Linked DNA regions of Lepisosteus oculatus. The protein of the gene in region 1 interacts with the protein of each later gene in a pairwise test. Links are inferred from orthologs where the notes say so. Each region holds a gene or a part of one and is shown in the gene's direction. Other genes may lie near its edges.

Region 1 (7,934 bases):
TGTGATAATGTTCCCCATCTTCATGTTTTCCTTTTAATATCTATTAATATTCCAGTATTTTTTTTTATTGACAGTTTTTGTACATTTTAGTTCTACGTTGTCAATTGGCTATATTCCAGATTGTTTGAAAATGAGATGTTTTTATACATCTAGGTCTTGGATTTTTTTTTATAGGTGTTGGGTATTTTGGGGGGAAAAAAAGTTCTACAAGAAAGTGCCATACACTGGCATGTAAAAATAACTAAGCAACAGGTGTGTTACTAATAAAAATGTCTAAATGAGAAGGAATGGAGAAAAACATCTCCTTTTGCTTTAGGGTGGAGCCCGAGAGCTTTTTACTGGATTGGCGAGCCAGAGTTTACTTGCACCTGTAGATGTAAATAACAGGAAACATATCCACAAGAAGAATGTGAGAATATTGTTTGGAACAAAAAAGAGTAATGCACTCCTCTATTCACTGAAGTGCCAATCTGACCAATAAAGTCCCTGAAGGTTTGTCTGAGTATCTTCTTGGTCTTTATGACTTCTTGTTTTGTACTTGAATGTGCACAATTGTTTGTGCAAACTTTGCTGCTTTATTTGCTTAACTGATGAAGTTACATTACCTGCTACATTTTTTTAAAAAAAGTGGTGTCCTTTACTGTTCTTGCACTAAATTCTTTATATTGGATCAGAATTATTTAATTGTCGGGTTGATCTGTTTTTCTAATTTATTGTGTAGTACTGTTTTCAGATCTGCTAGTGATGGAAGCCATGGTATCTGTATCCGGAGTTTTGGTCATTGTTTTTGTATGAACCTTACCTGCCGTGCTGAGGGTGCACCTCCCTGTTTTCATGGCAGCATGCTGCAGAAGTTAGCCACGGTTTTTGGGCAGCACCTGCTTGGCTCTTCCATGTCGAGCGATCGCAAGCTCTTCTGGTTTTTGTCTCAGTTCAGTGGTTGTGGTCACAGAATGGTCAGCACAAAGTATTTCTGGGCTTTCGAACCTCTGGTCAGTCATTAGACTTCCACAGTCTGTTCACCAGCTTTGCAGATTTTTTTTTTTTCCAGTCTTCTTTGAATGTTGGTGGTCAGTGGGGGTTACTGACATTAGTCAGCTGGGATTAGGATGGGATAAAATTGACTGGCGGAATTTCTGAATTTCTAGTTAAAGAAATCTCCTTACAGACCTCCCGAATCAAACTGTGAAAACATGAACCATGCAGATATAGCAATAGAAACCTCCCCCCATTTGTGCGGACAGAGGATAAATCCACCCTTCTCGTTTAAGTGGTTGGGAATATTCTACAAATCTGGTGGAATTTTAAGCACAGGTTTGTTTCTTACATATCAATCAAGAAACTTGGAAGAACAAATCCAGTTGCAAGTTGTAGCACTAACTTCATGTGTTGATAGTTGTATTCTCACACTGCAGAAGTGTTCGTTGTCTTCGGTCATGAATTCCACAAATCAGGATCAGCCAGTAGCTTAAAATAGCCACATCCATATACTGATCCTTCGAGTCTGTTTTAATTCCCTCCTTCCTGTCTTGCTTCCATTTCCGATACGTCTTGGTGTTATTATTTTACTGTTTCCTTTACAGAGCTTTTATGCAAGGTGTTTGTGCTGTTATGTTGCATATTTTAAACACTTATTGTATGTATTCCAATTCAGTTTACAGGGTAGTTATGCATGTTTCATATGTGCCACAGAGCAGAGTTTTATGGTTCAGGATGGATCACGTACTTGTAATGAGGTGGGGAGTGAGGACAGAATTGGAAAGGGCTGTAGAAAGTGTTTCTGCAGATTTGATATATGCTATACTGGATAACCCTGAGATCCCTTTTTGGTCCTTTATTTTCTTTTTGTATTTGATTTTGGCTTGCTTGTGACTGACGCTTTGACACTGACTCTTCTTCAGCCGACCATGTGAATGAGTGTGAGGACAGATTCAGACGTGAACACGAACAGAACATGATACACATATACATGAACATGAAACAGAAATTAACAAAATAAATGAAAAAGGTTATGTAGGGTTACAAATACTGTAAGAGAATAAAAGTTCAATAAAAATGTCATTGAAATCTTGTTGCAATCTTTGTGTGTTTTCTTTGTGTTGTGACCAGTTATAGGAACTTACAAAATCTACCAATTGTCTTGCATACCTTAGTATGCACCAGAATCGGGAGAGATGCATATATACCAGTGTGATTAAAATAAAATCTGCATTCTGATGTTTCATGTTGTGTTTCCTTGGTGAAACAGAAAACACTGCCCTGAAGAAGAAACTGACATAAATTCTGAACATATCCAGTTAATTGTGATTCACATGTTGCATGTACTGCAAACATCCTTTACATAAAAACTGGGACCAGGAAGTATTTACCCCTAACGGGCGGGGCAGTGGCTCTGTGGCTGGAAGGTAGCCAGTTCAAATCCCACGGCCGCCAGAGGAATCCTAATCCATTGGGCCCTTGAGCAATGCCCTTAACCCCAACTGCTCCAGGGGTGCTGTCTAAATGGCTGACCCCAAGCTTCTCTCTCTCTGTCTGTGTGCCTGTGTCCTATGGAGAGCAAGCTGGGGTATGCGAAAAGAGCAATTCCTAATTCAAGAAATTGTATATGGCTAATAAAGTAATCTTGTCTGATCTTAATTTAATTGATTAATCCGATCCCTCAATTTCCCTTTGGGATCAATAAAGTCTTATGATTAGCCTCAAGACTTCTTTGAGCTGCATGGCCAGTGTATAGGCCCCATTGATTCAACTGAAACTTGTGGCGCCTCTGCAGTAAGATGACATATTGCTTCCTAACAGGAACATGTGTGTTGCCGTATGATAGTCTCATGCAGAGCGTGATCAAGCTTCAGACTGGGATGTGACGTTTTACTGAGACAATCTCCAATCTCCTTCAGATGTCACAAACAGCATTAGTGCAGTGCTGAGACATTACATGCCAAACACCGTGTCCATCCTGAAAATGAGGTACCCAGAGGACGCCCACATGCAAAGATGTGGGTTGCAGATCAGGATCTTGGATCAGGGTCACACCCCCTCCGTAATGGAGCAGTCCTTGCTGGAATATTCCAGTCTGGCAGCCTCTGCGAGGCGAGGATGCGTTTGGGTCAAAGATACCGACTGCACTGGGGCCCTGGGTTCAATTCTCTGTGTGCCATGTGAGTGGAGTTTGCATGTTCTCCCCCATTTCTTGTGGGGATCCTCCAGGTTCTCCCAGTTTGCTCCCACAGTCCCTGTGGCAATCTTCTGCAGTCAAACACATACTGGTAAGTTGACTGACCTCTGGGAAAGTTGGCCCTGCCGTGAGTGTGACTGTGTGTGTGTGTGCCCTGCCAGGGACTGGTGTCCCACCTACGGAATACTCTGCTTGGACCCCAGGCACTTGTCAGGATAGGCTCTGGCTTCTCCGTGACCAAGCACTGGATAAAGCTGTTAAAAAAAAATCGATAAATATAAAATCCAAGCGTAAATACATCAGAAAGCAGGAAAAAAAACTCTTCAGGGCTGCAGAGAACCATTGGAAATTTTCAAATGTGTGAAAAAACACGTATTATTGTATAATAATACATGTACATGTATAAAATGTATTATTTTGTTAGGATTCCCATGAAGTGGGGTTACCATACAGACGTCTTTTTCCAGACGTGTCCACTCCTGTAGTTCTTAATTATCTGTCCAGGAGGAATTTTCAAAACAGAGATTTTTTTCCTTAGATACTTTAATAGACCCTGCTACAAATACCACTGTCATCCGTCGACAGAGTGGCCTCTCTTTTGAACGTTCAAATGGAAACCCTACCTAAAGTAGTAAAAAAAAAGTTTCATTTATGGCTATATACTACCACTACCTTAAAGGTTTATTTTAACATTACACGCTGGTATCACTGCTTAAAGTATTATGCTCAAATCATAAAATATATCACAGACCTTAACAGGTGCCAATAATAGAGTATGAGCGGTTATCATTATTTATTTAGATCTGGACAATAATTTAGAATTGTCTTTTGTGTCCGGGGGCGAATTTGTTAGCTTTAGGAGTGCCATAATTGTTTTATCTGAGCAAGTTTCGCTTTTTACCAACAGCTTTTTGTGTCACGGTTATGGGAAACAGAAAGTTTATTTTTCCAAGCGCATTGTGGTGATTGAAGTCCTCTAGAAGCAGGAAGAAACTACATCGACCATGAAGCATTGCGAAACTCCGGCCCACCCTCTCCAACTTTCCCCCAACGTCTTTTCCTTTTATCTTGCACATCCGCTTACGGCGTCGCCAATCAGAATGTACCAATTCACCGGTATTTCCGGTGTGTCAGTTGGCAGGAAAGCAGAGTGTTGAAGTGTTTTATTTGCTCGTTTGAGACGATACAGATATTATTTCAGTGGTAAGTGTCGTAGAAATAACAAAATGCCTAGTTTTTTTTAGCAAGACTGGAATTACGAAACTGTGTTTTGTATGTATAGGCGATAACGTGAAGTTGTGAGTAGCTAGTGAACGTGATGAAGAATTATTCGGTTCTTTTCAGTAATCCTATTTTGCTGATATCGTAGTGACTTTTGTCGTTAGCTGTGATCCACATGGATTTTTTGTTCGATTATATTCTAAAGAGATTTAAGTTTAGCTCACCCCTTTTTTTGCTTAAGAAAGTCTGTTACTAGTTTTGTATCACTGTTGGTTTTAAAGGGGACTGTCTATTACAGTCGGCCAAATGTAACTTGATTTGCCTTTTTTAATCGTGTTGTCCCACCTACGTGATGCTGTTCAAATGCGTTATCATGGACAACCCTACGCATGTTTTAAAGTAATGATTCTATTTGTTGAGGGGTTAACAGAAACTTTGGATTGATACACGAAGCGAAAATAAAACAATGTCCGATACTAATAAGACACTTAAGTGTCGTAGGGCTGGCTTCAGGCGGTTGGAGCCACTGAAGTTCAGTGATTTCCAAAACAAAAAATAACGTTGTCACAACGGAATCTCATGTCAATTTTAGTGTAGGTACGCAGGCGTATCGGGGTCTTACTGCAGTCCTGTTGGAGCCTTGATCCGGAATAATATTGTAGAGGCTGGTTTTGAAATCGGTGTAAGTGGCTTCAAAGAAACGGCTAATCGTGTGAAACGTGTCACTGAAGTAACAGACCGAGTCAGTTGTTGCACTGTCTCCTGTTTCTCACGTTTGGCTTCATCTTGGTTTGGTTCTGCGAAATCCAGGAAATGTGTGCGCATTTCTAAACGTGCTCCTTGCTTAATTTGGGGATCTATCCCCTGGAATGATGTAAAATCACGCAAGAGAAATGAATTTCTTAATAGGGTTCGTAGCTCATGACAGGATACGTGTGCCTGTCGCCTGAAGGGTGTCGAAGGGAGCAGGGGTGCGCGCTCAGAAGAAGCTCTGTGTCTGTTTCACGATTTCGTTGTTCTTTCTCTTCTGCTCTGAGAGGAGGAAATGTTGTCTTTGAAATCCATCCATGTCCGTCGCAGGGCACACACGGATACCAACGCACACACTCACATCTGGGCCAGTTTTCCCAGAGCCCAGTTACCCCGCCAGCATGTCTTTGGACTGTGGGAGGAAGCCCACACAAACACAGGGAGAACGTACAAACTCCGTGAACATAGCAGCTCAGGTCCGGTACTGGGCCCAGGGCCCCAGCATTGAGAGGCAGTAGCACTAACCACTGCGCCAATGTGCCGCCCGAGCCTTTTCCTTGAAATTAAAAATTGAAAAGGTAATCCCTTGCATACATGACGTGTAAGCCATTGGAATTTCTGGCTTTTTAGAGGTCACTGTCAGGCATGGGTAGTGATCATCACCACCTCAGTTGCAGTGTAACCGCAGCAACAGCAGCGTCTAGTGAAAACGGCGGCCACTGCAGAGCTCCAGCCATCATGCCTTGCCCTTCCTCTTGGCAGCCGCCGTGATGAAGAAGCAGGACAGTGAAGGGCCCGAGCAGCTGTGCGGAGGCAGTGGGGCTCAGCCCGGAGAAGGGGAAGGGGCGGCTCTGGAGCGCGCTGGCAGCCAGGAGTCTGCGGACAACCAGCAGCCTGACACTCCGCCTCCGGAGACGCAGGCCAAGAACGGGGGTAAGTCGGAATCTGCTCTCGCATCTGTGGAGCGCTGCAGAGAAATAACCCGGAGATCATACACTACTTCACACTGTATGTCTTCTAACAGAACCTACCACCCCAACCTCTTAGTCTTGTGGGAAACCATTTAAGCAGCTAGTCCTGGTCTTGGCTGAAGTTCAGGACAGAAGGAATTGAAGTTGAATAAAGTGGAGACAGTCTAACAGCCAGTGGGGGGATAGGTTTGGTCCCTGCTAGGGTAGCTCACATGATTGCAGTCCAGGCTTGCGTTGGAGCTACCAGAAATAGCAAACTGATGGGGGCTTTAAACATCTTCAATCACCAGTGAACATGAATCTATTTTTTTATTCCGGCGATAGGTAAAAGATGTTTTTCATTGCACATCTCGTCAAATCGCAGGCTTTACGAATGCAGTGTCCTTAGAGTATTGCAGCTCCCCAGCAGGGAACAAATATCAAAACCTTGCCGAGGCACTAGGAAACAGATGAAATGACAATCCAGAATGTCCATATGTGATGTTTGCTTCTTGTCCTGAAGGTCAAAGATGACTTAAAGGCCCCACTGGTGAAAGGCTTGACATTCTCTGGAAAGAGCTCTCAAGTCCCTGTTAGAGGTGACCACAATGTAGCTGTTATTTTAGATTTCTTTGTCATGAACAGCCTTAGGATCCCTTGTGGTTGGTGAACTATTAGAAGAGTTATTATTCCAATTAAACCCTTATTCCTCAGGTCTTAAGGTGATGATGCTTCTATCTTTTTATGTGCCAGCGTTACTTAGACGTACCACCATTCAGAGTGCTTACACTCCTTCCATGCTCTCCTGTGTCCTGATGGGACCTGCAAATGTCCGTCAGATACAAATGTAGCATCTTAAAACATTTCGATCTGAAACCTAGAACTGTTAGACTGTGTCTCTAAGTGAGGTTAGCTTGAGCGGCTTAGACGAGAGTGTCTGCCTCAGTAGTTGCAGCCGTTACTCCCCGTTACTGGTGTCGGCGCCGCGCTGACGGTGCGCGTCCCGCCCTCCACAGCGGTGTCCCGCGACGTGTCGGAGGAGCTGAGCCGGCAGCTGGAGGACATCCTGAACACGTACTGCCAGGAGGACAGCGGGGAGGACGGGGCGCCGCCGGAGCCAGCAGAGGGCAGGAGCGAGTCGCCCCGCAATGGCGAGCCCGACTTGGACTGCCTGGTGGTCAACGGCCTGGCGGAGAAGGAAGACGGCAAGACGGAGGAGCCCAAGCTCAACGGGGACGTCGCCGACAAAGACCAGAAGAAACCGCAGGAGAAGAAAAAGGTTAAGGGCCTCGGTAAGACTTTTCACTCGCTGGTCACTGCACTTTGGAGCAGTGGGGCAGTTCTCCTGCGGCTTTAGACTCAGTTGAAATAGTTTAGATTGAACTGGGGGGAACAAAGACGAGACATTGTCCAGCACGTGTGGTTTGGAACCTACATGACCACCCGCCTGTCTTCGGTAATGTCAGTGGTCCTGCTCAAGTTGTGCACTTCCTTTGTCCTTCAGGAAAGGAGATCACGCTGCTGATGCAGACCCTGAACACCCTCAGCACCCCAGAGGAGAAACTGGCTGCGCTCTGCAAGAAATATGCCGAGCTGGTGAGTGTCGTGAACCCGAGAGGTGTAAGGACTCAAGGGGTGAGATTTTTTCCAAGTGCTCACAGGTCATTCTTCCTCTTCTAGCTGGAAGAACACAGGAACTCGCAGAAGCAGATGAGAGCGCTGCAGAAGAAGCAAACCCAGCTGATCCAGGAGAAGGACCACCTGAGGAACGAGCACAGCAAAGCCATCCTGGCCCGCAGCAAGCTGGAGAGCCTGTGCCGGGAGCTGCAGAGGCACAA
Region 2 (8,456 bases), on another chromosome or scaffold:
GTGCTTTACACACTTCTTTCTACAAAGCTTGATATGAAAAACAAAGAGTCGAATGCTAATGTCCTTAAATTTGTTAAACAGATAGATGTGTATTTCAAGAACATGAGTGAAATTATTGCAGATCTGATGTTTTCAGATCAGAAACGGAAGCCTGATGGCTTCTGCAGTCTGTATTCCAAAATACAACGTGTTTTGCACAGAACCTGTGGTAACACCATCCGCTGATTATTCAGGCAAATTTGTTTGCTCTGCTCGATCAAATCGCCCAATGCGGCTCACATGGTTTTAGACATGGGGAGCGGAAGGGCATTATGAATGCTTTTTCAGATGCCTCAAAGTCCTAAGCAATGTTGGGGTGGTGGTTATGTGTACCGAACTAATTTTCCGCACCAACATTTAATTGTTGATTGCAAACGGGAGCAGGTAATGTGTGTGTACTGCGATGTTTCTGTGTTTGAAAACCTATAAAGGAAATAGTGGTTCGCATTTTACATGCTTGAAAACGGGAGTCTTTAACGTTTGTGAAAAGTGTGTACTACGATGTTTCTGTGTTTGAAAACCTATTCATGAAATAAGTGGTTCGCATTTCACATGCTATTTGTCCTGTGAGTTCTTTCCATGAGACTACGTGGTCACTGTGTGTGTATGTGAGTGCTTACATGCCCTTGATGTTTTTTTTGAGACTTGCTGTTAGGGTCAACCACTTGGCCACCTGGCCGCGGTTGTTGACGCTCACACCCCGGGATCTCGTGGCCCTCACCAGACTCCCCACGCCGCCGTAACTCCCTGATTCCCTAGGGTTATAATAGAGTGGTCAACCCCGCAGAAGACATGGTCGCCTTCCAACCCTAACACATGCTTTCATACACTTATTTATAAATCGAGGGATGCGGTGACTGGGGCTTTTGGACCATGAGTCTCAGGCCTGACCAGCAGGGGGAAGGCGGGACATCTGCCCCTTAACAACACACCATTGGCTCCTGAGGGGGTGGGACATCGGCCCCACCGTGGACTCCCAGTGGCTGAAAAAGGGGGTGTGGCACCTGTCAAAAAAGTTTGATGAAAGGTATCGCTTTATACTACTGGTATCCTTTCTTGCGCCTCAGAAGGCTCTAGCTCCCCTGTGACCCTGAATTGGATGAGGTTGTTAGAAAATGGGTAGATGGATATTTCTTAAAACCCTACCCCATCAGTAGATTCCTGGTGTCAGGAGACAGGCATAATCCTTGCATTCCAGTTGTTGTTATTTGAACTTTTGGATGATAATATCCTTTTTTTCTTATGGTACCTGAAACTGAACATACAGTAGTTTATAAATGAGGTCCTACAAGTACGTTGTTAAGCTTGCAGTTAAATACAGTGTATCTTTAATGTTTTAGGTTGTCCGTTTTTAAAACACCTGAAACAATTTCACTTTGGCCACTAAGTAGAAATTACAATGCCCTCCAAATGTATTGAGACAAAAACCTAAAATTGGCATTTCCCTGTTGTATCCACAAAGAACCTGAAATTCTTCTGAGTCTGAGCTCAGAAGGTCACCCTTTCTTTTTAGGATATATTTTGCACACACAATTTTTCAACTAAAGCATGTGCTGTGTTCAAACCCCCCCCCAGTAATGTAGCCAATTCATAGAGGAGGATTATTAGGAGGCCATGATTGGTAAAGGCCAATGGGAAATTTGTCCAGGACCAGGGTTACACCCCTACTCTTTTCGAGAAACACCCTGGGATTTTTAATGACCACAGAGAGTCAGGACCTCCGTTTTACATCTCATTCAAAGGACGGCGCCTGTTTACTTAGGTGATCATAAATATTGGGACTTTAAATTAAAGAAGGGAAAAATCAGTCTTTTGTTGCAAATCCCTTGCTTGCAATAACTGCATCAAGCCTCCGTCCCGTTGACATCACCAGACTTCTTCACTTGATATCCAGGACCAGGGTTACACCCCTACTCTTTTCGAGAAACACCCTGGGATTTTTAATGACCACAGAGAGTCAGGACCTCCGTTTTACATCTCATTCAAAGGACGGCGCCTGTTTATTTAGGTGATCATAAATATTGGGACTTTAAATTAAAGAAGGGAAAAATCAGTCTTTTGTTGCAAATCCCTTGCTTGCAATAACTGCATCAAGCCTCCGTCCCGTTGACATCACCAGACTTCTTCACTTGATATGCTTTTCTAGGCTTTAACTGCAGCCTCTTGAAGCCGTTGCTTGTTGGTCAGGCTTTCTTCCTTCAGTCTCCTTTTGAACAAATATAATGTTTGTGTTACACCCCTCAAAAAGGGGAGATGATTAAAGAATTAAAACGTACACGCAGTTTTTATTTCTAAACCGTTTAACCGCGAGCTCCGAAAAAAAACTGAAAACCGAACGCTAGAAAAAAAAAAGAAAACCGCATGAGCTCCCTCTATAATACCTGAGCAGGCAAAAACTAATTAACTGCCGACTTTCCTAAACGAAAGCGATCCTCACTGGCCAATATTCAGAACGCCCAAACCACCCCAAACTTTCAACCCTTTCAAGTGTTTCAATCTGTCACACTTGCTCAATTGGATTTAAATCTGGTGATTGATTTGGCCAGTTTAAAATGTTTTATTTTCTGTCTGTTTTAAGCGTGCAATATGTTTTGGGTCATTGTCCTGCTGCATAATTAACTGCCACCCAATAAGTCTGGTGCCATTTTTTCTTACATTTGCAGACAAGATCTGTTTCTATGTGTCTGAATGTACCCTACTGCTAACATCTTCAGTTAAGTCATCAATAAAGACTAGCCTCCAGGTTTTTTTTGGTGAAGTCTTCTATGGATTGTGGTGCTCAAAATTTGCCTCCCCACACTCTGGAGATTTTTGATTTCACTAACAATTTGTTTTTTCACAAAAATATTTTTCTATCATCCACTTCATTTGTCTTTTTTGGACGCTCTGTTCTCAGCCTGTTATTGACTTCTCCAGTTTCCTTTTTGTTAAAAACATCCCAGATTGTTGATTTTGGAATGCCAAGAGACTTTTCAGTTTTTCTGATGGTCATTTTCTTTCCTCTCATTTTCAAAATAGCCTTCTTCTCTGGTCTTCAGGTTGGTTTTTCCTGACTAATTCAAGAGAAAGACTTCAGAAGCAGTTTCAAAAGACCTCAACCACGCCAGACCTTCACAGCTCTTGTGTGTGAAACGTATGCAACATGTAACATCTGCACAATTAGAAACACCTGTAAACCCCATTTGTCCCAGTACATATTTTTAATGGGAGCCGGTCCTGACTTCCTTGTAGTGCGTAGTTCAGGACCCTATGCAGACGGTATAATCCGGAAATGACTGGAGAAGTTCTACTGGGAAATAACAGTGAGGAATGGAAGGAATGGCGAAAGGGAGGCGGTGCCGACAGTGATCCAGGTGCAAAGGGGTAGCGCAGGCAAACAAGTCCAAAACTGTCCAACTGTCCAAACAGAATGACAAGGCCAGGCCCTCCGAGCCCTGGACGCTTTTCGGAAGCCTAAGCCCTCAAGCCGTGGACGTACAGTATGGCGACTTGATGCTAAGCGGACCTCTGGGCATCCATCTTCCAATGCAAAGCATCGAGCTTCCAGAGCACTGGGTTGAAATAATACCGGTGAAACCAGGGACAGGTGTACGTGATAATGAAACAAACACAAAAGGGTCAGAGCCCCCTCTAGAGGAGGGATGACGATCGTGACAATATTCTTATATAAACGTGGGGGGTTGAACAAAAGAAGTGCTGTTGTTGTATAATGATTTATGCATAAAAACACACAACTGCTTTTGTCTTATATTCATCTTGTGATTTTGAAATCCATATTTCCTGAGAATACAGCATACATGGGAAAATTTGAACTCTTGTCCCAGTACTTTTGGAGGGCACTGTATGTTCCATGAAAGGAGTTTAGAGCTCATTCAAAATGAAAACAACAAAATTGTGTTACTCTTGAAAGCTAAAGTTGGTAAGTGAACCAATTAATGGACTCAACTAATCAAAACATATGTTCCAATTTTTTCACAAAATGCTGATTTGAAGGTAACTCCTACACCAGGCCAGGTTAAACTTGTCATAGACATATCCTTTAATTTTAATAATAATAATTGCTTACAGTTATATAGCGCTTTTCTGGACACTCCACTCAAAGCGCTTTACAGGTAATGGGGACTGTTACCACCACCAATGGGCAGCATCCACCTCGATGATGTGACGGCAGCCATAATGCGTCAGAACACTCACCACACATCAGCTCCCAGTGGGGAGGAGAGCAGAGTAATGTAGCCAATTCATAGAGGAGGATTATTAGGAGGCCATGATTGGTAAAGGCCAATGGGAAATTTGTCCAGGACCAGGGTTACACCCCTACTCTTTTCGAGAAACACCCTGGGATTTTTAATGACCACAGAGAGTCAGGACCTCCGTTTTACATCTCATTCAAAGGACGGCGCCTGTTTACAGTATAGTGTCCCCGTCACTATACTGGGACATTAGGACCCACATGGACTGCAGGGTGACCGCCCCCTGCTGGCCCCACTAACACCTCTTCCAGCAGCAACCTTAGTTTTTCCCTGGAGGTCTCTCATCCAGGCATTAACCAGGCTCACACCCGCTTAGCTTCAGTGGGTTGCCAGTTGTGAGTTGCAAGGTGATATGGCTGCTATTTAAGATGAATTAGGCGGTATTTTAGACACATTTTCTTTGGAAAATGATTGCTAGACATTACAATAAACTTGTATTTCCTCCTTTGATTCATATACACTCGTTTATAAAAGCTCCAAAAGCTTTTCCGTATATAAATCAGAATAAAGCTAACAATAAAGAAAAAACCTTAAATAATCATTAATCACCAGATATTATTATAAAACTTGAATAGCAGTCTTATTTTTATTTATTTCAGTATATCTACCTAATAAAGTAATGTTATGCACAGGGCTTTTAGGGTGTTGGTTGAGGTGCACCGTTAAATGTGGTATGAGAGGGGTGTGGTGGTTATTATAACTATTTAAAATTTCAACTCTAATTCCGACCTAGAATCAGTCGGAGGTTTTTTAAGATGCCGGTAGCACGGCGGTTTCTCGATTGAAGATGCGCGTCAGGGGACCACGGCAGCCAATCTGCTTGTGAACAAAAGCGATAATAATTCACAGAGTCCTGTCTCTTGCTCTTTCTTACGCACGGAGCGCTGATCTGCTGACTCAGTGCCTTATTCAGTCCTTTCTCTAGCCGCTTACTGAAACTGCACCGCTTTCCTTGGTACCGAACAACTGTACCCACAACCATGGCTAAAACCGCAATGGGTAAGGAGAAGGCTGATTATTTTAATAAGGATATTTTACTAATTTAAAAGGGGCAATGAAATCTAACACAGGTAGGTGCGACATCCGAAACACAAAGGACCTCAGGCTTTTGTCAATTGCAAGGGAGCGGTCAATTGCAACAGCACTGACGCATGAGAAGAAATTCGCATATACACATGTGCATTTTAAAATGAAATGAATTGCATATGTTACCACCTATTTACAAAAGTCATATTTTATATTGTCGTTGTTTTTTAAGGTTTTAATTTTATGAATTGGGCCGAAATGTCTTGATCCTGCACCGTTGAATACAGAGCTTAATAAGACGTGTTATTTTCATCGTATTCTGATTACATTAAATTGCATTTAACATAACAATTTTTTTATGTGCATACCTGAGATCGAATTTATTTCGGTTTTGGAAATGTCAAGCACCACCACCGCTTATTTATAACGCCGCACCCGCTACAGTAGCTCTGCACATGCTACTACAGCATAATGCAGAGAGACCCCACCCAGAGCTCGCTCTCTTCAAGATTTCGGGGCGTTTTACTAACGATTGGGGAGAATAAGGTGCTATTAAAACCAGATTTGCCAAGACATTAAATATAAAAATAAGGATGTGTTGCAGAGAAAATTAAATATTCACATGACAGTGTTTTTTTTATTAAATACACTTGCATGTTATGTATAGATGAGGTTAAAAACAGAAGCCATCGCTTTCAAAAGAATTTTCACTGAATTCATTTACAAATATCACTGCTTATCAATGGCACTGCCTTGATTAAAACAAACTAACAATTTGACTGCATTGAATTAAAAGTGGCTTGGCTATTGTCATTTTATTATCGATCGGAATCTTCAGTTTTCAGCAGGTGCGCCATCCATATGCATTTCCTTTGTGAATCATCTGCTTGCTCTCAGACACTGAAGGTGACAGTGTAATTCTGTATCTAACAGGGTCATCTAGTTAAATGAACGATAGAACAATCGTTTTGTATCGCAGAACCGTAATATGCATAAACAGTGAACCGTCCTTTCATTATGTCTGTTAAAGGATATTACCTTAATTTTTTCCGTGACTATTGTTCAGATAGCGATGCGAAGGGTATCCACCCTTCTTTGCACCTGTTTAACAAGACGTTATGCTCAGTTATTCTTCTATATCATTGCTTTGTTAGCTATAACAGTTATACTGGGCCTCTTAAGGCTACCTACATTATCAGAATTGGAAATTTTATAAAGCTGTGGTTTCAGATTCTGGATGAGTCCTTGAAGAGTCTCCAATATATTTTCTAACATTAATGCAGATATCTGTGCAGCATTTCTAAAGAGGACAAAAGTCTACGTGTACAATTCCATCACAATATCACTAACGTATAGGTGTTTATCTTAATACAGTGAACAGAGGACTGAAATATGGATTTACTGTACAGAACGTGTGTGGAAGTGGTATGCACCTGTATTTATCCTATTTTCTTTAAATAATTAGACTGTTTTAGAAGGAAACATACTTTTCTATATCTACAGATAAACAGAGACTCTAAAAAAAGGCCCTGCTTTATTCTGTTGTATTTAGTATTATGTATTAGTATTCAGTATTATGATGTTAATAAGCTTGCTGGTTTTTAGTTCATCGGACAGATTAGTAGACCTGTACAGACATCCACCTGAGCTTCTACTTGCTCTTTAAATAGGTAGTATTAAAACAGAAAATGTAGATTTTGTGTCAGATGAAAAGGCTGCAATATTAATCTTTTTGCGACCTATAATTCTCAATTATACCCTTGATAGGTAGAGTTATTTATCATTTGCTGAAGTATACATTACTGGCTAGCGATACACATAGACAGTTAAAAAGATTATATTAAATTTGTCTGTGTGTCACTAAATCATTTTTATATGCCAATGGAATTCCTAAAAGAAAGTACTTAAGAAATCTTGCGAAAGAGTGGAGGCAATCCAGAGGCCCCTTTTTTTGCGGTGAACCCAAAAACTGACTGAACTCTGGGCCCTCAAATCTAAGGCCACTATAGAGTGCTGTAGATTCAGGCACACAGCCCAGATGAATGTGTAGTTAAATGGGTGGTGGGTTTTTGGTATGAGACAATCACAAACTACAGGGCACCTTTTTGGTCCTGCCTTTGGAGTTGCTGTTCTGCAAGCAGACAGCAGTGTGGGAGTTGGGCCAGCCCTGCAGCAGGGGGGTGGTCATACAGTGGCCTCTGCAGCAGCCTACTGATCAGTATTGACAATCTGTAGCTGGTTGGTGACAGATCACTGCAGGCACTCTGACTGGAACTCTGTTACCTGCTGAGGAGTTTTTAAATCTTTTTTTGGCAGATATTTTGACATATCTGGATATTACATCTGATTCCTGTATAACCGTTGCACATTTCTAAGGTGTCCAAGAGCACCAGTCATTTGCACTGAGGTTAGAATCAGAACTTCTCAGTGGCTTCTACTCCTGAGTGTTTGCTTCCTCAGATAATACTTGCTCAACTATGGGGGTCAGAGAAATTAATTTTGCTACAACACTAACAGCTCCAGCCCTGACTATTAGGTGAAGAATCTCATACTGGTACTTAATATTATGAGGCATATAAAAACTTATATTTGCACATCTGACATGATGTTTGAGGAAAATATATACACTAAGAAAATAATATAAAAAATAAATTCTGGAAGAGGTGTGAAAGTACTGTCTGGAGCCATTATTGTTGGGTACTAAAATCATATCATTGGCATATAGGCAAAAGTGTCTATTGAAAGGATCAAAAGTCAATTCAGAACCTTAATGATTGTGTCATGGTGTTGGAATATTTGCAGAGGAATGCTGCTATTGACTTTAAAGATACCCCAGTGTGATCAGAATTAAATCAACTCTTTATCATCACAATCCTGGTTCCATTCTGAGGTTAATTACTAGGCTTGCCACTTTTCATCTTTGAAAAGTGCAGGAGTTATAGCAAAATATGTCTTGAATTTAATTTATTTGTTTAAGGTGGCACTGACACCTGTTAGATTCTGGCTTGCACTGGGGGGTTGCAGATATGGCCAGCAGCCATATCACTCTGCAATTCCCAACTGGCAACCCACTGAAGCTAAGCAGGTGTGGGCCTGGTCAGTACCTGGTCAGTACCTGGATGGGAAACATCCTTTGAA

The links. The genes of interacting proteins can lie anywhere in the genome.
Region 2: the proteins of txlna (region 1) and stmn2b interact in binary tests that used the Homo sapiens proteins (3 or more experiments, as listed by UniProt). The two-hybrid records come from large-scale screens. The link is inferred for Lepisosteus oculatus from reciprocal best matches to the Homo sapiens genes TXLNA and STMN2.

Annotation. Positions count from the first base shown.
Region 1 is NC_090706.1:3,311,107-3,319,040, forward strand, and holds the start of txlna (alpha-taxilin), read left to right. Parts: upstream 1-4,267; 5' UTR 4,268-4,378; intron 4,379-5,908; 5' UTR 5,909-5,916; coding exon 5,917-6,079; intron 6,080-7,112; coding exon 7,113-7,388; intron 7,389-7,600; coding exon 7,601-7,692; intron 7,693-7,776; coding exon 7,777-7,934. UniProt on the Homo sapiens protein: May be involved in intracellular vesicle traffic and potentially in calcium-dependent exocytosis in neuroendocrine cells.
Region 2 is NC_090705.1:27,026,755-27,035,210, reverse strand, and holds the start of stmn2b (stathmin-2b), read left to right. Parts: upstream 1-5,102; 5' UTR 5,103-5,272; coding exon 5,273-5,291; intron 5,292-8,456. UniProt on the Homo sapiens protein: Regulator of microtubule stability. When phosphorylated by MAPK8, stabilizes microtubules and consequently controls neurite length in cortical neurons.